2 linked regions of the Mus musculus genome follow. The protein of the gene in region 1 purifies or fractionates together with the protein of each later gene. This does not show direct contact. Links are inferred from orthologs where the notes say so. Each region holds a gene or a part of one and is shown on either strand. Other genes may lie near its edges.

What was found.
Region 2: the proteins of Dhx38 (region 1) and Ppp4r3a purify together in Homo sapiens (co-immunoprecipitation; 3 studies listed by BioGRID and IntAct, with this or other methods). This does not show direct contact. The link is inferred for Mus musculus from reciprocal best matches to the Homo sapiens genes DHX38 and PPP4R3A.

What each region holds. Positions count from the first base shown.
Region 1 is NC_000074.6:109,555,638-109,559,450, forward strand, and holds part of Dhx38 (pre-mRNA-splicing factor ATP-dependent RNA helicase PRP16), read right to left. Parts: intron 3,444-3,813; coding exon 3,282-3,443; intron 3,115-3,281; coding exon 3,007-3,114; intron 2,674-3,006; coding exon 2,561-2,673; intron 1,375-2,560; coding exon 1,237-1,374; intron 907-1,236; coding exon 720-906; intron 569-719; coding exon 383-568; intron 144-382; coding exon 3-143; intron 1-2. UniProt on the Homo sapiens protein: Probable ATP-binding RNA helicase. Involved in pre-mRNA splicing as component of the spliceosome.
Region 2 is NC_000078.6:101,038,597-101,042,306, reverse strand, and holds the end of Ppp4r3a (serine/threonine-protein phosphatase 4 regulatory subunit 3A), read left to right. Parts: intron 1-255; coding exon 256-482; intron 483-1,527; coding exon 1,528-1,638; 3' UTR 1,639-2,898; downstream 2,899-3,710. UniProt on the Homo sapiens protein: Regulatory subunit of serine/threonine-protein phosphatase 4. May regulate the activity of PPP4C at centrosomal microtubule organizing centers.

The sequences.
Region 1 (3,813 bases):
ACCTTGCTGAAGAGGATGTCAACAGGAAAAGTCCGCCCAGGGATGTGGAAAATGGGTACATTCCCAAAGAAGGCAGCAAACTTTTCTGCATCCATAGTAGCTGACGTGACAATGAGCTTCAGGTCTGAGCGTCGAGCCACAACCTAAGAGAAGGGGACAGCAGGGGTTCCTGTGATCTTGGGACTTCAGTCTCAGCTCTGTCCACAGACAGAGCAAACACTAACGCTGGCAAGCCGGTAGCTTTGTCTGACTGAGCAATGGAGCTACAGCTCAGCGTGAAGACACCAGCAGGGCTGACCAGGTGACCTGGAAGCTTCCGAGGAAGCCTCACCCATCCTCTGCACCTGAGCCGCAGAGGAACCAGAGCCCGCCGTGGCCTTACCTCCCGGAGCAGCCCAAAAAGCACGTCGGTGTTGAGGGAGCGCTCGTGGGCCTCATCCATGATGACGGCGCTGTAGTGGTCCAGGTCAGCCTCCCGGAGGGACTCGCGCAGCAGGATCCCATCCGTCATGTACTTGATCAAGGTGTTTTCCGAAGTGCAGTCCTCAAAGCGGATGGCATAGCCCACCTGGGGTCAGAGACAGAGCTCACCAAGAGGCTAACTACTTACCGTTTGCCCTCACAGACTGGAGTCAGGCTTAAGCAGACCACAGCTTCCAGCACAAATGGCAGAAGCGATCAGGAGAAGGCTACATGGCTCAGACCTCACGCCCACTCACCTCTTCTCCAAGGTTGCCCCCCATCTCTTCACTGACTCTCTTGGCCACTGACATGGCAGCCACACGCCGGGGCTGGGTACACCCGATCATCCCATAGTCCGTGTAACCATCTTCATGCAAGTACTGGGTCAGCTGAGTGGTCTTGCCACTCCCTGTCTCCCCGACCACGATCACAATGCTGTTGTCTCTGCAGGGAAGAGCAAGCAAGGCACTGAGCAGCCTGAGAGGAAAGCCAAGCTTGAGACAATTCCCTGAGAAGCCTTAAGTCTGGCTGCCTCTGGCAAAGCCTAGCTCTGCAAGAAGCATTCATGGCCAGAGGGTTCACCAGAAACCAGCATCTTATGGGGCTTCCACATGAGATGCCAGGGACCCAGTCAAGGTGAACCTGGACCACTAAAGGAAGTGATGTCATCTTACTGTGCGCAGCACACACTCAGCCAGCCCATTACGGGCAAAGTGTTTCCCTTGCCCATTAGACAATGCACAGACAGGAGAGCCACGGGGCCTGGGCCGTTACCTGATGATGGTGAGCAGCTCCTGCTGCACGGCAAAGATGGGCAGGTACTGCCTCTGCTCCAGGATCGACTTCTTCTTGGCAAACTCACTGCTGGCCTCGCTTTTCTCCTTCATGTGATCTGCAAACTTCTGCTCCGTCCTGGGAAACACAGAGGCACACATGACCTCCCACACTGTCCCTCAGGCTGAAGTTAGCTGCCCTTCCTGCTCCCAAGAATGTGAACAACTGCGACAAGAATCAGTCAACCTCCTGGACTCCAAAGCAGCCTGGGCATCCAAGACTGTATCTAAATGGGCCTAAGGAGCAGATATCACACAAGACTCCACCTCCATAATACACAGTCCAGAGCCCTGATCAAACAGCTGCATAGGGAGCAGACATCAGACTCTAGGTGGGCAGATCGCCTATCCTAAACAAAGTGTGGCCAGAAGAGGGGCTGAAATTAACCAGCAGGTACCAATTTAGAAAGAAGATCTTGGACAATGTTAGGACCAGACTTAAAGGGCTCAAACAGCTATAGGGGTCTCCCAAGTGCTAGCTACACAGCACAGGACATAGATCTGAATTCCTCCCTCCCTTAATAGGACTACCAAGTGCAAAGGCCTCGTTTTCAAAGAACTATGAGAACAGCTCACTTCTATTTGCCTTGCTTCTAGATAACAACCATGTATCAGTGTCTGATACATGGACACACATCCCAAGACCCTTGCTCCCACCTTCCCCCTCAGAGTCCTTTCCTTCCTCAGATCTTACCCAAGCTCTTCAAGTGTCTAGTTCTCATTTTACTCAGTCCCCCTGGCCACCTGACAACTGAAACTAAGGGACTCCAGCAATACCAACCTCTTAGTTGGGACACTTTACACAGAAGTACTAGGTAAAGACGACAGTTCCACGGGACACGTCGTCATTAGGGGATGCGCAGTGGGAGGGCTATTTTGAGTGTAGCACCAAGCCAATGCAGGGACTCAGACAAGCAGTGACTGAACGACTGCATCAGACCCCATGAACGGAGACACTACCAAGCCGAGAGTCCTAAAAGGCCTGGGAAGCCAGCCCTCCCTTCCGTGTTGTGCTGAAATCTGACCAAGAAAAGAAACCCTGCCTGTCAGGACCAACATTTCCTAGCTAGGTGCTCTGAAGCAAAGTCCTTAACCTCCCTGAGCCTCAATCTACACAACCATCACTGTATCAGCGGTGGTGGTGACAGCAAGGAAAGCTCAAGTCAGAAGACAGGACTCAGGAAGGGACCAGAATGCACAAAGATTCCCGTCACAAGCCAGGACCTTGGGAGCCAACTTGCTACTGACCGAGACTACACACACACCTGTAGTCCACTTTCCCGTCTTCTGTCATAGCTTTATCCGGCTCCTCTTCTTTTTTGACACCCATTATGTCTCCTAGTTTGGTCCCTGCCAGTTCCCAGTGTTTGTGCTGAGCCTGAAGGTGAAAACAAGAGTTAAATCACTGCATCCTCTGGCAAGACGGGAGGCCGTGGAGGCTATTCTGATGGAAGGCAGGCTTTACCCAGCAGACAGTAAATTCCCACAAGGCACCAAGCCACACTTCTCAAACCTCATGCCTCCAAGCCCCCAACACCAGGCCCCATGGTTGCTTAACTGAGTAGAACACAGTATTCTCCTGGGCTGCCTCTTGATCCATGCAAGTATGTCCTCTGACTGCCACTGGCAGTCACTGTATGCAGTCTTGACATTTTCTACAGGAGTAAAAAGCAGCCCCCAAGGACCTCAGCCCTAGTAGCACACCACCAACCTTTCTCCGTTCTTTCTGTTCCCTGTGCTTGCGGACCGTCTGGCTGCCTTTCCGAGCAATAATGGCCAGGTCAGAGGTGGCATCCTTCACTGGGATCACAGGCTCCGGCTGCAAGAAGGAGGAGAGGTCACTAAAGGAACCAGAGGGCCTGCTGTGCATGGGCCCTAGTACAACAGGCACTACCCTCTGGCACCGACACTTGCCTGTACCAACCCTCTCCTCCTCCCTCCTTCAGCACTTTCTAACCCGCCCGTCTCTGGCCACAGAGGCCTCACCTGCTTGGTGAAAACGATGCGCCCATCCAGAAAGGGAGGCACCAGGTTGTGCACCATCAGATGCACCTTGGCCGCATTGTCCTCTTCAAAGTCCTCGTCCACCTCCAGCCGATGGACCACCCCACTGGTGAGCATTCGGTTTGTCTCCCAGCGCTCATTGTCCTGTGGGACACAAGGACAGCCACATTTAGCCAGCAGCTAAAAGGGGATCCTGAAAGGTCAACAAGCAAGCCCACAGACTCACAACGGGCTCTGCACCCTGCAGCTCCTTAAACAGGAGTCACTGAAGCCAAGGCCTTGCAGTACCTTGTCCCAAGAAGCAGCTGGGCACCAGCCCTACCCCAGACACAAACCACACACCCAGAGAGTACCACCATACCACTCCCCACACGGCCCCTCACAGCGTAGTGCATGAGAGCGAAGCAGGAGCCAGGATTCCTCAGCTACCCAAAGCTTCCCACTCACGCTCCTGTCCTGCAGAGGCATGTGTGACCTGGTCCTGTCTATAGACAGCCAGCTGTGTTGTGTCATC
Region 2 (3,710 bases), on another chromosome or scaffold:
AGTTTTCTTAATGTAAGGAAGACGGTTCGGAGGTTATGGATACTAAATGTAAGACTGAAGATCACACTTCTCTGCATTGTAATATTTGCTAGATAATGTATTTGGTTCTTGGAAAGGCTTTGTTCATAGGTTGGACTTCATTCAGGGTTGCTTCTCAGCAAAGAAATGAGCTGGTTACTTATGTTTTAGTGTCATTTCATTTGGAGGAATTAGGAAAAAAATGAGAGTAAAAGTATTCTACATTCTCATTTTTAGTGAAAGAAAGTGAAGAGAAGGAGGTGCTTCTGAAAACTAATCTTTCTGGACGACAGAGCCCAAGTTTCAAACTTTCCTTGTCCAGTGGGACAAAGACTAACCTCACCAGCCAGTCATCCGCAACAAGCCTGCCTGGTTCTCCAGGGTCACCTGGCTCCCCGGGCTCTCCGGGCTCTCCTGGATCCGTCCCTAAGAGTACATCTCAGACGGCAGCTATTACCACAAAGGTACATGCTTGGATTGGAGTCCCCTATGCTGGCCCTTCCCTGCCATGCTTTAAGCTTACCGGAGCAGTCTTTATTCCTGGATTATCGCTTTGCTTTGCTTTGCTTTGCTTTGCTTTCTGGAACTAGCTAGCTAAATGCTATGAACTGAAGGTGAAACCTCATCACAACCACTACCTGAACTTATGTGTCCAGTGCAAATCTGTAGTCTGCCTTTGGTATTGTTTAACTTATAAATTATAGGTTCATCTTTACCTTTCTCAATTAGAACCCAGGTGAAAACTTGGGAGGGGAAGCCAGAGTTTCTGTTTATATGTGTGGACAGACATCAAAGCTGTGTGTGGAGGTCAGTTCTTCTGCCGTGTGTGTCCCAAAGATCAAGCTTAGGTCATTAGGATTGATAAAAAGTGCTGGCCCCACAGTCTCATTTCATCTGACATTGGCAGGAGATCCCTCAGGACTGAGGCTGCATCTAACGTTGAAATGAAGGCACAGGCTGAGAGCAGAGTGATAGGAATTTCCATAGCCATTCAAATTGTACTGTCATAGTTTCTGTTGAAGAATCAGGGCTAAAGGGGAAATCCAGAAGAAATATCCCATCTGCCTGCATTTTGATAGCATTTTATCTTTTATATTGAAATACATTTGAGCCAGGCATTGTACTACACACAGGTCAGTAATCATAGCTACTCTTGACACTAGGAAAGAAAGATTGCTAGAATACGGCCTGCCTGGGCCACTTAAGACCCCGGCTCAGAAGGTATACAAGAGGGCTAGGTATGTAGCAGTAGTAGATAGAGCCAGCCCTTGGCCTGAGCATGTATGAAGCCCTGGGTTCAACCCCAATACCATAAAAAAATGAATTTTATACAGGTAGTCATAAGCCATTTTAAGTAGCTTAAGAGAACCTTACAAAAATATGGAAATTTTAGAATGTCTATAAAAATTATTTTGAGCATGCTGGCATGGGGCCTATACTTTTTCTAAGTTTTACAACAGGTAATTTCAAATGTAGTGGGTTCTTTACATAATTCTTATTTCTCAACAGGGAGGACTCGTGGGTCTGGTAGATTATCCTGATGATGATGAAGATGATGATGAGGATGAAGACAAGGAAGACACACTACCAGTGTCAAAGAAAGCAAAATTTGAGTCCTAATAATAGCAACTGCCTGTGATCATCAGTACCTGTTGACAAAACTGGTTCTTTACCCCTCCCCCCTACAAAATCCACATCAAAGTGCAGTGGTCTCTTGTGAATGACTGACCCAGATCAGCACCACACTGGACTTCTGCTCATCAAGTGCCAATTCAATGGAGCAGGAGGAGGGGATGCCGTGCAGTTAGGGGAAGACATAAGCCTGTGAGCTCTCCAGCTTGGACCACACATTGCCCTTTTCTCAGGGAAGGAAATGGAAATAAAAAGCCAACAGGGCAGGGGTTTTGTCAGTGGAACTCTGGATTGACTGGTCAGTTGCTACAATCAGAACCTGCTTTCTTGGACCATGTTTGAGACTTAGAAGAATGGGTCTTTCTGCCATAGTTCCTCACTAGTAAAGAATGCCAGCAGTTTCTTTGTATAAAGAGACCTGCCTTTAAAATCATACATTCTGAACATTTTAGTCAAGCTACAACAGATTTGGAAAACCTTTGTGGGGGAGGGGCAGAATAAAGTATCTTTTTTTTTTTTTTTTTAAATCTGTTCCCTTTGCCCTTCAAACTGCAGATTTTTTTTTTCAAAGTGGGGATTTGTCCCTGCTTGATTAAAGATTGAGTGGAATTCTAGATGTGGTCATTTGTGTCATAATTTTTCTTTTTGTTTCAATTTGTTTCTGTTTTTTTTTTCTCTCCCCCTGGGTGTATGATTAGTTGTTGAATATATATATTTGGGACCATTAAAACTTTTTTGATGTAATATAGCCTAACGTGCTGGCACCTGCTTTACATGTGTAATTTGTGTTCTACATCACAGTTCTTAATTTGTTTAGAGTTTTATGAAAGATGGTATAGTTTTTATTGACAAAAGCAAAGTAATCTTACAACTATGTGCATACAAAAGCAATACTATTTTGTGACTAAATATTTTATATTAAAATTTGCATCAGCAGCTGTCTTGAGATTTCAGGGAAATAGAGTGGAATTTAAAACTTCAACAGTTTTGTTAAACTTAGAAACATGAAATTAGTATTCCAAAGAGATTCGGAAATTTCATATCTTGGAGAAATGACGGTACATTAAATCAAAATTGAGGATGGATGATTTAAAAGTAATACTTGACTTTTGAATAATAAAAAGAAAAGTGAAGAGTAAGAGAAATTGTATTAATTGTATGTTTCTTTTCTTTCTTTCTTTTTTTTTAACATATGCCCTTTGGAATACAAGTTGTAAGTGGTGGTACCTAAATAAACACCCAAGAACCATTAAGTGGTACCTTATTAAAACATTATTTTTGGGTCTGGTGACACAGCTTAATAGTAGAATGGGGTGGGACACTTTCCATTTTTCAGCTCCATTACCACCAGAAAATAATGTATTCTTAAATAGGATCTTTACTGTTAGACATACTAAAATGTTTTCAAGAAAGTAAGTGTCTGAGTTCCAAAACCTTCGCTTTTTAAAGGTGGAAAGCAGAACTTACCTTGTAGTTGTAAATGAATAAAATGTTATGCCCAGGAGAGGCCACTATGTGGTCCTAACTGCTTATCCTCAACAGAAACAGGAAATCCAGAATATACTGCAGGCGGTGGTGCATGCACTCGGGAAACTGGAGCAGGTGGATCTTTCAGCTTGAGGCACAATAAAGTATAAAAGATTTAATTCATTTCACAATAGAGCTGCTTTTTAAGACAATTACACAGCTGGAGATGGCACAGTGGTTAAAAGCACTGGCTGCTCACAAACCTCTGTAACTCCAGTCTCGGGGATCTGGTGCTTGCTGAAGGCACTGTACTTGCATGTAGTACTCATATTACATTCAGGGAAACACCCAGCCACATAAATAAAAAGATTTGTACTTTAGCCAAGCAGTTGATGGAGCACACCTTTAATCCCTGCACTGGAGGCAGGAGTCAGATCTCTCTGTAGGCCAAGATGGTCATCTGTGAGAGCAACGAGTATTTCTAACCACTGAGCCTTTCTCCAACCCGTTTTTGATCTTTAAAGACAGGCACTAGGTAACTTAGAACTATCTAGACCAGATTGGCCTTCCTGAATGCTGGAGTCATTGTTCAG